Linked DNA regions of Xenopus tropicalis. The protein of the gene in region 2 interacts with the protein of the main gene of each other region in a biochemical or structural test. Links are inferred from orthologs where the notes say so. Each region holds a gene or a part of one and is shown on either strand. Other genes may lie near its edges.

What was found.
Region 1: the proteins of mlxip (region 2) and mlx form a complex in vitro, tested with the Homo sapiens proteins (2 studies listed by BioGRID, with this or other methods). The link is inferred for Xenopus tropicalis from reciprocal best matches to the Homo sapiens genes MLXIP and MLX.

The regions. Positions count from the first base shown.
Region 1 is NC_030686.2:6,144,417-6,148,343, reverse strand, and holds the start of mlx (max-like protein X), read left to right. Parts: upstream 1-1,063; 5' UTR 1,064-1,339; exon of another isoform or gene 1,340-1,377; intron 1,378-1,661; 5' UTR 1,662-1,694; intron 1,695-3,568; 5' UTR 3,569-3,576; coding exon 3,577-3,652; intron 3,653-3,927. UniProt on the Homo sapiens protein: Transcription regulator. Forms a sequence-specific DNA-binding protein complex with MAD1, MAD4, MNT, WBSCR14 and MLXIP which recognizes the core sequence 5'-CACGTG-3'. The TCFL4-MAD1, TCFL4-MAD4, TCFL4-WBSCR14 complexes are transcriptional repressors.
Region 2 is NC_030677.2:162,021,849-162,025,742, reverse strand, and holds the start of mlxip (MLX-interacting protein), read left to right. Parts: upstream 1-827; 5' UTR 828-894; coding exon 895-1,211; intron 1,212-3,894. UniProt on the Homo sapiens protein: Binds DNA as a heterodimer with MLX and activates transcription. Binds to the canonical E box sequence 5'-CACGTG-3'. Plays a role in transcriptional activation of glycolytic target genes. Involved in glucose-responsive gene regulation.

The DNA.
Region 1 (3,927 bases), on a different chromosome or scaffold from region 2:
GACACCATCTTGCCTTGCTATACACACAATGTCCCACCCCTGACACCATCTTGCCTTGCTATACACACAGTCCCACCCCTGACCCCATCTTGCCTTGCTATACACACAATGTTCCACCCCTGACCCCATCTTGCCTTGCTATACACACAGTCCCACCCCTGACCCCATCTTGCCTTGCTATACACACAATGTTCCACCCCTGACCCCATCTTGCCTTGCTATACACACAGTCCCACCCCTGACACCATCTTGCCTTGCTATACACAATGTCCCACCCCTGACCCCATCTTGCCTTGCTATACACACAGTCCCACCCCTGACCCCATCTTGCCTTGCTATACACACAATTATAGTGCACTCCCTGTAAATAAGTATAGGAGGACCCAATGTTGTGCCCTGACTATTGCTCTGCGGGGCCCCCGGGGCCTGTAAAGGGTCCCCCCTTTCTAGCCATCTCATTCTACCAACAGGGTAACAAACTGCCTATCAGCTCAAAGCTTCTGGGGGTGCCGGGAGTTGTAATTCAATGAGCAAAGAGACGTAGGTAAAACATCCCTGAATGTAATGAAGTTCAATGCCAGAGGTGCAACCTACTCCCCTCCATTTATGGGATTCTGGAAGTTATAGTTCAGGCAGCCCCCCACACACAGGCAGGATTTTAGGTATTTAAAGGGTAAGTTAACCCCTCCTCAGCCAACCAAACTGCATCAGCCAGGCAGGGAGCTGGGATATGACAACCTCCCACCAAATCTCCTCTATATACAGGGATACCTGCCTCCCATGGCCCATCTACCTCCCTCTACACTCAGCACCTTAGAGCCCCCCAAACAACTCAGTAGCATCCTAAAGAGGAGATAGAGCTCAGTCTGAGGGGCTGCTCATTGACTCCCGAACCACCCTATTCCATTGCATGCTGGGTAATGTAGTTTATTCAAAGCGTAGTATCAGGCGACAGCTAAAACAAGAACTACATTACCCAGTATGCACTGGGGTTATTTACCAGGAAAAGGGAAGAGGCGGGGCAGGTAGGGCTGAGAAAGTTTTGCTGTGCGTGTAGTTTCAGGATATTATTAGTATTTTATTCGTTGGACTTTAACAACCCACCTAGTATGAAAACGAACAATATATGACTGGAAATGTACTATTTTGGCAGCCCTGGGATCCTCGGTAGTCGCACGTCACACTCTCGCGAGATTTGGAGGAAATTCTGGGGGAGCTGTCGGGAAGCAGCTGAGGGGCTGAGGGGCTGCGCTATAGGAAGGGGTTGTGGGGCGTTTAATCAGCGCTCCGGGACGACGATATCAGCAGCTCCGGGCGGGACGGCTGTCGGTTCTGTTGTGTGAGTTACCGACTGGAAGCGGAGCTCAATGTAAATAGGTCCGTGTGCGGGAACCTTCCATTTGGGGAAGTGCTGCCAAACTGACAGGGGAAAGCAGCTTGTAATGTAATCCCATCAGCATTGTACGGATAGGAGAGGGTTAATACGTTAAAGGGGAACTCCCCCTCCCAAATATTACTTTATACCCCCTGGTCTAATATCCATAGAATTCAATTCCCAGGCATTTATAGTGTGATCCCTTAATGCTTACAGCAAACATGTCTTATGCTCTAATAGCCTGTTTGTAACCCTTTGTATTCATCCTTCTCACTCTTCCTTCTAGCCTGATGTTCCCTATGTGATAATGTGAGGCCGGGTAAGTCTTTCATATACTTAATAACTGTCTTTTATTGGTTTTTATTTTATAATAAATGCTTACAGTTGTATCAAGGCTTGGATCCATTATCTGGAAACCCGATATCCAGAACGCTCCAAATTATGGAAAGCCTGTCTCCCATAGACTCTAAGATATAACTTAGATATAACTAAGATATAATTACCCCTTATTGGGGGCAGAACAGCCCTATTGGGTTTATTTCATGGTTAAATGATTCCCTTTTCTCTGTAATAATAAAACAGTACCTGTACTTGATCCCAACTAAGATATAATTACCCCTTATTGGGGGCAGAACAGCCCTATTGGGTTTATTTCATGGTTAAATGATTCCCTTTTCTCTGTAATAATAAAACAGTACCTGTACTTGATCCCAACTAAGATATAATTACCCCTTATTGGGGCAGAACAGCCCTATTGGGTTTATTTCATGGTTAAATGATTCCCTTTTCTCTGTAATAATAAAACAGTACCTGTACTTGATCCCAACTAAGATATAATTACCCCTTATTGGGGCAGAACAGCCCTATTGGGTTTATTTCATGGTTAAATGATTCCCTTTTCTCTGTAATAATAAAACAGTACCTGTACTTGATCCCAACTAAGATATAATTACCCCTTATTGGGGCAGAACAGCCCTATTGGGTTTATTTAATGGTTAAATGATTCCCTTTTCTCTGTAATAATAAAACAGTACCTGTACTTGATCCCAACTAAGATATAATTACCCCTTATTGGGGCAGAACAGCCCTATTGGGTTTATTTCATGGTTAAATGATTCCCTTTTCTCTGTAATAATAAAACAGTACCTGTACTTGATCCCAACTAAAATATAATTACCCCTTATTGGTATGAAGATCCAAATTATGGAAAGACCTCTTATCTGGAATACCCTTGGTCTCAAGCATTCTGGATAACCTGTATACCTGTAACTGTAAATATCAGGGAGACATTGCTTTTACCTGATCTGCATCATTATATTTATAAAACTCAGGTAAATTATATTAACTGTGTATATTATCTCCAAAATCAAACTGTTTAAACCCCAGGAAAGCGTAATGTGGTGGCTTTGGACTATGGTTTTGAAATACGGCTTTAAAGGGGAAGTTCACCTTTATGTTCACTTTTAGTATGTTAAATAATATTCTAAGCAACTTTTCATTTGGTCTTCATTATTTATTTGTTATAGTTTTTACAGCTTTCAAATTGGGGGTCACTGACCCCGGCAGCCAGAAAACTATTGCTCTGTGAGGCTCCAGTTTTATTATTATTGTTACTTTCATGACTTATTTTTCTAGGCCCCTCTCCTATTCATATACCTGTCCATCTTTCAAACCACTCCCTAAGGTAATTTGGACCCGAGCAACCGGATAGCTGCTGCAACTCCAAACTGGAGAGCTGCTGAACCAAAAGTGAAATAAAATAAATAAATAAAAGAAACAGGGGGGCCCATTTATAAACACTGGGCAAATTTGCTCCTAGCAACTGGTTAGTTACCCACAAACACACCTTCCTGTCTTTAAATCAGTCATCCCAGTGCTTGGTATAGAGGGTTAGCGCCCTCCTCTGTCTGAAAGCAGTAAATCTATCGGCACAACAAGAGCAATTCCAAGAGAGGCAGACCTGTTTTAAAACAACATTATTGGTTACCATGGGTTACTGCCCCTGGGCAAAGTAAGTGCTTTTTAGTACACGCGGGTGGGGTAATGTTTAATTTGGAAGTAGAAAGCGGCCTAATAAATGCATGACGTTTGGGCAATAATCCAATCTGTTGATACTGTAAGAACTGGATCACAACAGACTTGGCATGGGTGCATTCATATTAATTTAGTATATATGATTTTATCTTTTTGCAGTTCCTGTCATGGAGCAGAAGGGAAGTTTAGTGTCCAGAGCAAACAGCATTGGATCCACAAGTGCATCTTCAGTGCCCAATACAGGTAAATCCTAAAACTGTTTGCACATGATTAACCTCACCTTCCACCCATTGAGGGTTGCTCTATTTTATGTTTTTATTCAAGTACATTTCAGGCTTTAAGATTAAATATAAATTCTAAACTGTGAAAAATATTTTCCAAAAGTAGTACAGGTATGGACCATGTTACCAACAATGCCCTGGACCTGGGGTTTTGCAGATAAGGGGTCTTCCCGTAATTTGGATCTCCATACCTTACGTGTACTAAGAAATCATTTAAACATGAAATAAACCCAATAG
Region 2 (3,894 bases):
GGGGGCTGTTCGAGCCTCTTTTGAATCTGTGGGCCTGTGGGTGACCAGGCTGCACTGGCAGCTCTAATGTAACTAATTCCAGTAAGGATCCATTCTAGCCGAGTCAGCACTCCAGCCCTGTGCTTGCTGTAGGTAGGGCAAGCCAGAAGCAGTAATGTCAACAATGCTCATAGCAAGCAGCTGCACAGCAGGACGCACATTTGCACACCATGTGATTTATATGTAGTGTTTTCACACATAATGTACGTGCCCAACAAAGCAAAGACAATAAGACAATAACAAGGAGCATTGCCCCATCTCAGACTGCCGCCTTTCGCTTCCTTGTTGTGTCACTGGAAAAAACACTAAATTCTACCCAAATACTCAAAAATCTCATGAAGTGCATAATTAGAAGCTCCCGGGCCCCGCAGCGAAACAATTGTAGGGCCCCACACAACATAGAAATAAGACGTTCCGTAAACCAATACTTTGCTTTTCACTTGGCGTCATATTATAACGCTTACACCTCCGGGGCCCCAGCAGTCGCAGCATGTGCTTCCGCTATAGAGTTACGCCTCTGCCCCACATTTCTCTTACAAAACAAGGGAATGAATACGAAGACAGTAGAAAGTGGAACTAGCAGCGTCCTAAAGCGCCTTCGCCACCAACCCAAAGACCTCTACTGGCAACGTCATCGGGTGGGCGTTGTCGAAGGCCGGTCAACCTGTAAACCAATCACACTAAGCCACGCCCAGTCACAGAGTCTCCAGCTTGCCGATTGGCTGTGCTTTTGTGTGACGTTTAAGTCTCCCCCTTCGCCTCCCCGGCCTCGTTCGCCTGTCTGGGGTGAAAATAACGCAGCGAGAAATCGGCTCTGCGGACTGGAATGTCCCGGGGCTGGGATCGGAAGGGATGATGATGGCTAAAATGCTACCGGTGCGTCTATCGCACCCCAGCATCATGGTCAAGCAAGAGCCGGATGATGACTCAGACACGGACGAGCCCAACTTACTGCTTAAGAAGTCGGACAGCTCCGAGGCGCAGATCATCCACAGCGGCCACTTCATGGTGTCCTCCCCGCACAGCGAGCACCCGCCCAAGAAAGGATACGATTTCGACACCGTAAACGAACAGGCCTGCCAGACGTACAGCTTCGGCAAGACCAGCTCTTGTCACCTGTCCATAGACGCGTCTCTCACCAAGCTGCTGGAATGCATGACCCTGGCATACAGGTACCCATGTGCCTGCAGTGCTGCTGGGATCTTTTGGCCTTGGACTACAAATCCCAGGATCCCCCAGCCAACCTAAGGATGCTGGGACTTGTAACTCAGGTTGGAAGATCCCTGCAGTATTGTGAGATAAGACACCAAAAACTTGTATGCAATTATGCAGCTTGTACAACAAAGAGCACAGTATAGCAACACTGGCCTTTCTCCCAGGCAATACGTCATTTATACACGGCTTTACATCCAGTGACGTCATCAGTTGGGGCTTTTTAAAGCACAGCTGATGTGTTAGATTTGGTTTGGCAATGGTCAGGCCACAAGTAACATTAGATGGGCCCTGTTACTGCCAGCTGTGTGCTGTTGTGCTACTATTACCAGTCCCCCTTTTTCTCTAGGTACATATGAGTGCTCCTGTTGGTTTGTGCAGGTATGATGTGACCCAGAGCTAGGCTGGTACCCCATTGTCCAGTTAGGCAAAAAGTGTCATCAATGTGTTATCTGCCTACCAGTAACACCAATGGCACACAGGGTAAGTCCATACATTTTGCTGCCAAGATTCTCAGTGACAGTTACTTGATCCTTGTGTGGGTCTACGTAACTGCTATCAAAATCAATGAAGATGATCAGTTATGGGCATTATGTTACCTGTCCATGTAGCTGTTAAATGCTTGGGCAAAAAATACCCCAAATTGCTCAGTATGGCATCACTCCTTCCTGCACTACTACAGTTTGTGTAAAGTAGTTACTGTGTAGCTTTTGGGGCTGCCTTTCATGATGACATTGGGCTGTAAGGCACCAGTTTTTAGATCAGATTACAGATATGTTGTATATAATACAATCGGTTTAGTTCTTACAAATTGTAAAGTGTGTTGCACTATGTTAATAAATGATGTTGATGATTGGGAGGAGGATGATAAATGGGTCAAATGGCAATTATGGCTCTCTCCAAAACTATAGAATGAAGCACCTCTCATTTAATATGGCTTTTGTTTCCAAGAAAGTTTATTTGTAGGTGCTGGTTGGGCAGATAAAACTTAATATAGTATTGACTGACCCTTTTATGGTTAATGTCACACATAAAGATCAGCAGGCCAGTCCAAATTACTGCTTGATAATGATATTATTCTAGATCTAGGGTATCTGTAATATCCAGTGATAAAACAAAGTTGTGTGTTTTATCTGCAAGCAGGTAAGGAATGTAGGCAAAGCTGTCTCTTTGCAACCTGCATGAGCCTTCAAACAGCTGATTGACCTGTCACCTGCAAAGAGGTAATGGGATAAAAGTAACAAAATGTGCACCAATCTAGCCATCTGTAGCATGCAATCAGTAAACTGAGGTGGCCATACACAGGCAGATTTCAGCTGCTTGTTTCAGGTCCTTCAGACTGATTCGGCAGCTTATCTGCCCGTGTATGGGCACCCCCAATGGGCCTACCCGACCGATATCTGGTCTAAAATGGCCAGATCTTGATCATGCAGGTTTAATTTTCAATCAGATTGGGGACTACATTCAGGTTTGGACAGGGCTGGCAGGGTGCCGGGAAAAAACCCGATGGGCCTCGCTGGCCTAAACCCAATCCCTGCCATTGATCAGGTGGGCCCTGCACCTCCCAGTCTGACCCTGACTACATTGGCCCATTCACTGCACCTATGCCTTCTGTTGTAATTTGATTGTTTGGCCCTAGGGCCAGACAATCGAATTAGCCCAATATCGCCCACCTTAAGTGGGCATATCCGCTTGTTTGGTGACCGTGTGTATGGCCACCTATACTGGTTCCCTGTTTAAAAGCAAACATCTGATTGGTTGCCATGAATTACTAGATCTGGTGTAAAATGTGCTACTTTCATTACATTAAACCCTGGGTGTTTACTGGTGTACACTGGCCAATGACATAGCAGCTTAATTGCATTAACTATTGCTGTGACTTATTTACTAACACAAAAGCTAAACTGCACCTGTGCAGTAACCCATAGCATACTATACCATAGCATACTCAGGGATGTACTGGTGCTGATTTGGTTTTCTACCTTAATTATATTATTTGCTTTGGCAGCACTTGTTCTGAATTAGAAGCAATACCATCAGTTTCTGACTCTCCAATCAGCTGCCAGGTACCACTTATAGCTTACCTACAGCATCCTGGCACCAAATATTTGGCCTTCTTCCACAGATGAGTTGCAGTGTTTCAGTTGTTAGGGTAGAGAGATCCCCGTTGATTTGTACTTTTAGTTAACATATACAGTCATATGAAAAAGTTTGGGAACCCCACTTTCTTTGGAGTTTTGTTTATCATTGGCTGAGCTTTCAAAGTTGCAACTTCCTTTTAATATATATGCCTTATGGAAACAGTAGTATTTCAGCTGTGATATAAAGTTTATTGGATTAACAGAAAATATGCAATATGCATCATAACAAAATTAGACAGGGGCATAAATTTGGGCACCCCAACAGAAATATTACATCAGTACTTAGCTGAGCCTCTTTTTGCAAATGTAACAGCCTCTAGACGCCTCCTATTGCCTTTGATGAGTGTCTGGATTGCGGTATTTTTGACCCTTCGTCCATACAAAATCTCTGCAGTTCAGTTAAATTTGATGGCTGCCAAGCATGGACAGCCTGCTTCAAATCATCCCATAGACCAGGGGTGTCGAACTCAATCAGAGAAGGGGCCAAAATCTAAAATCCAGC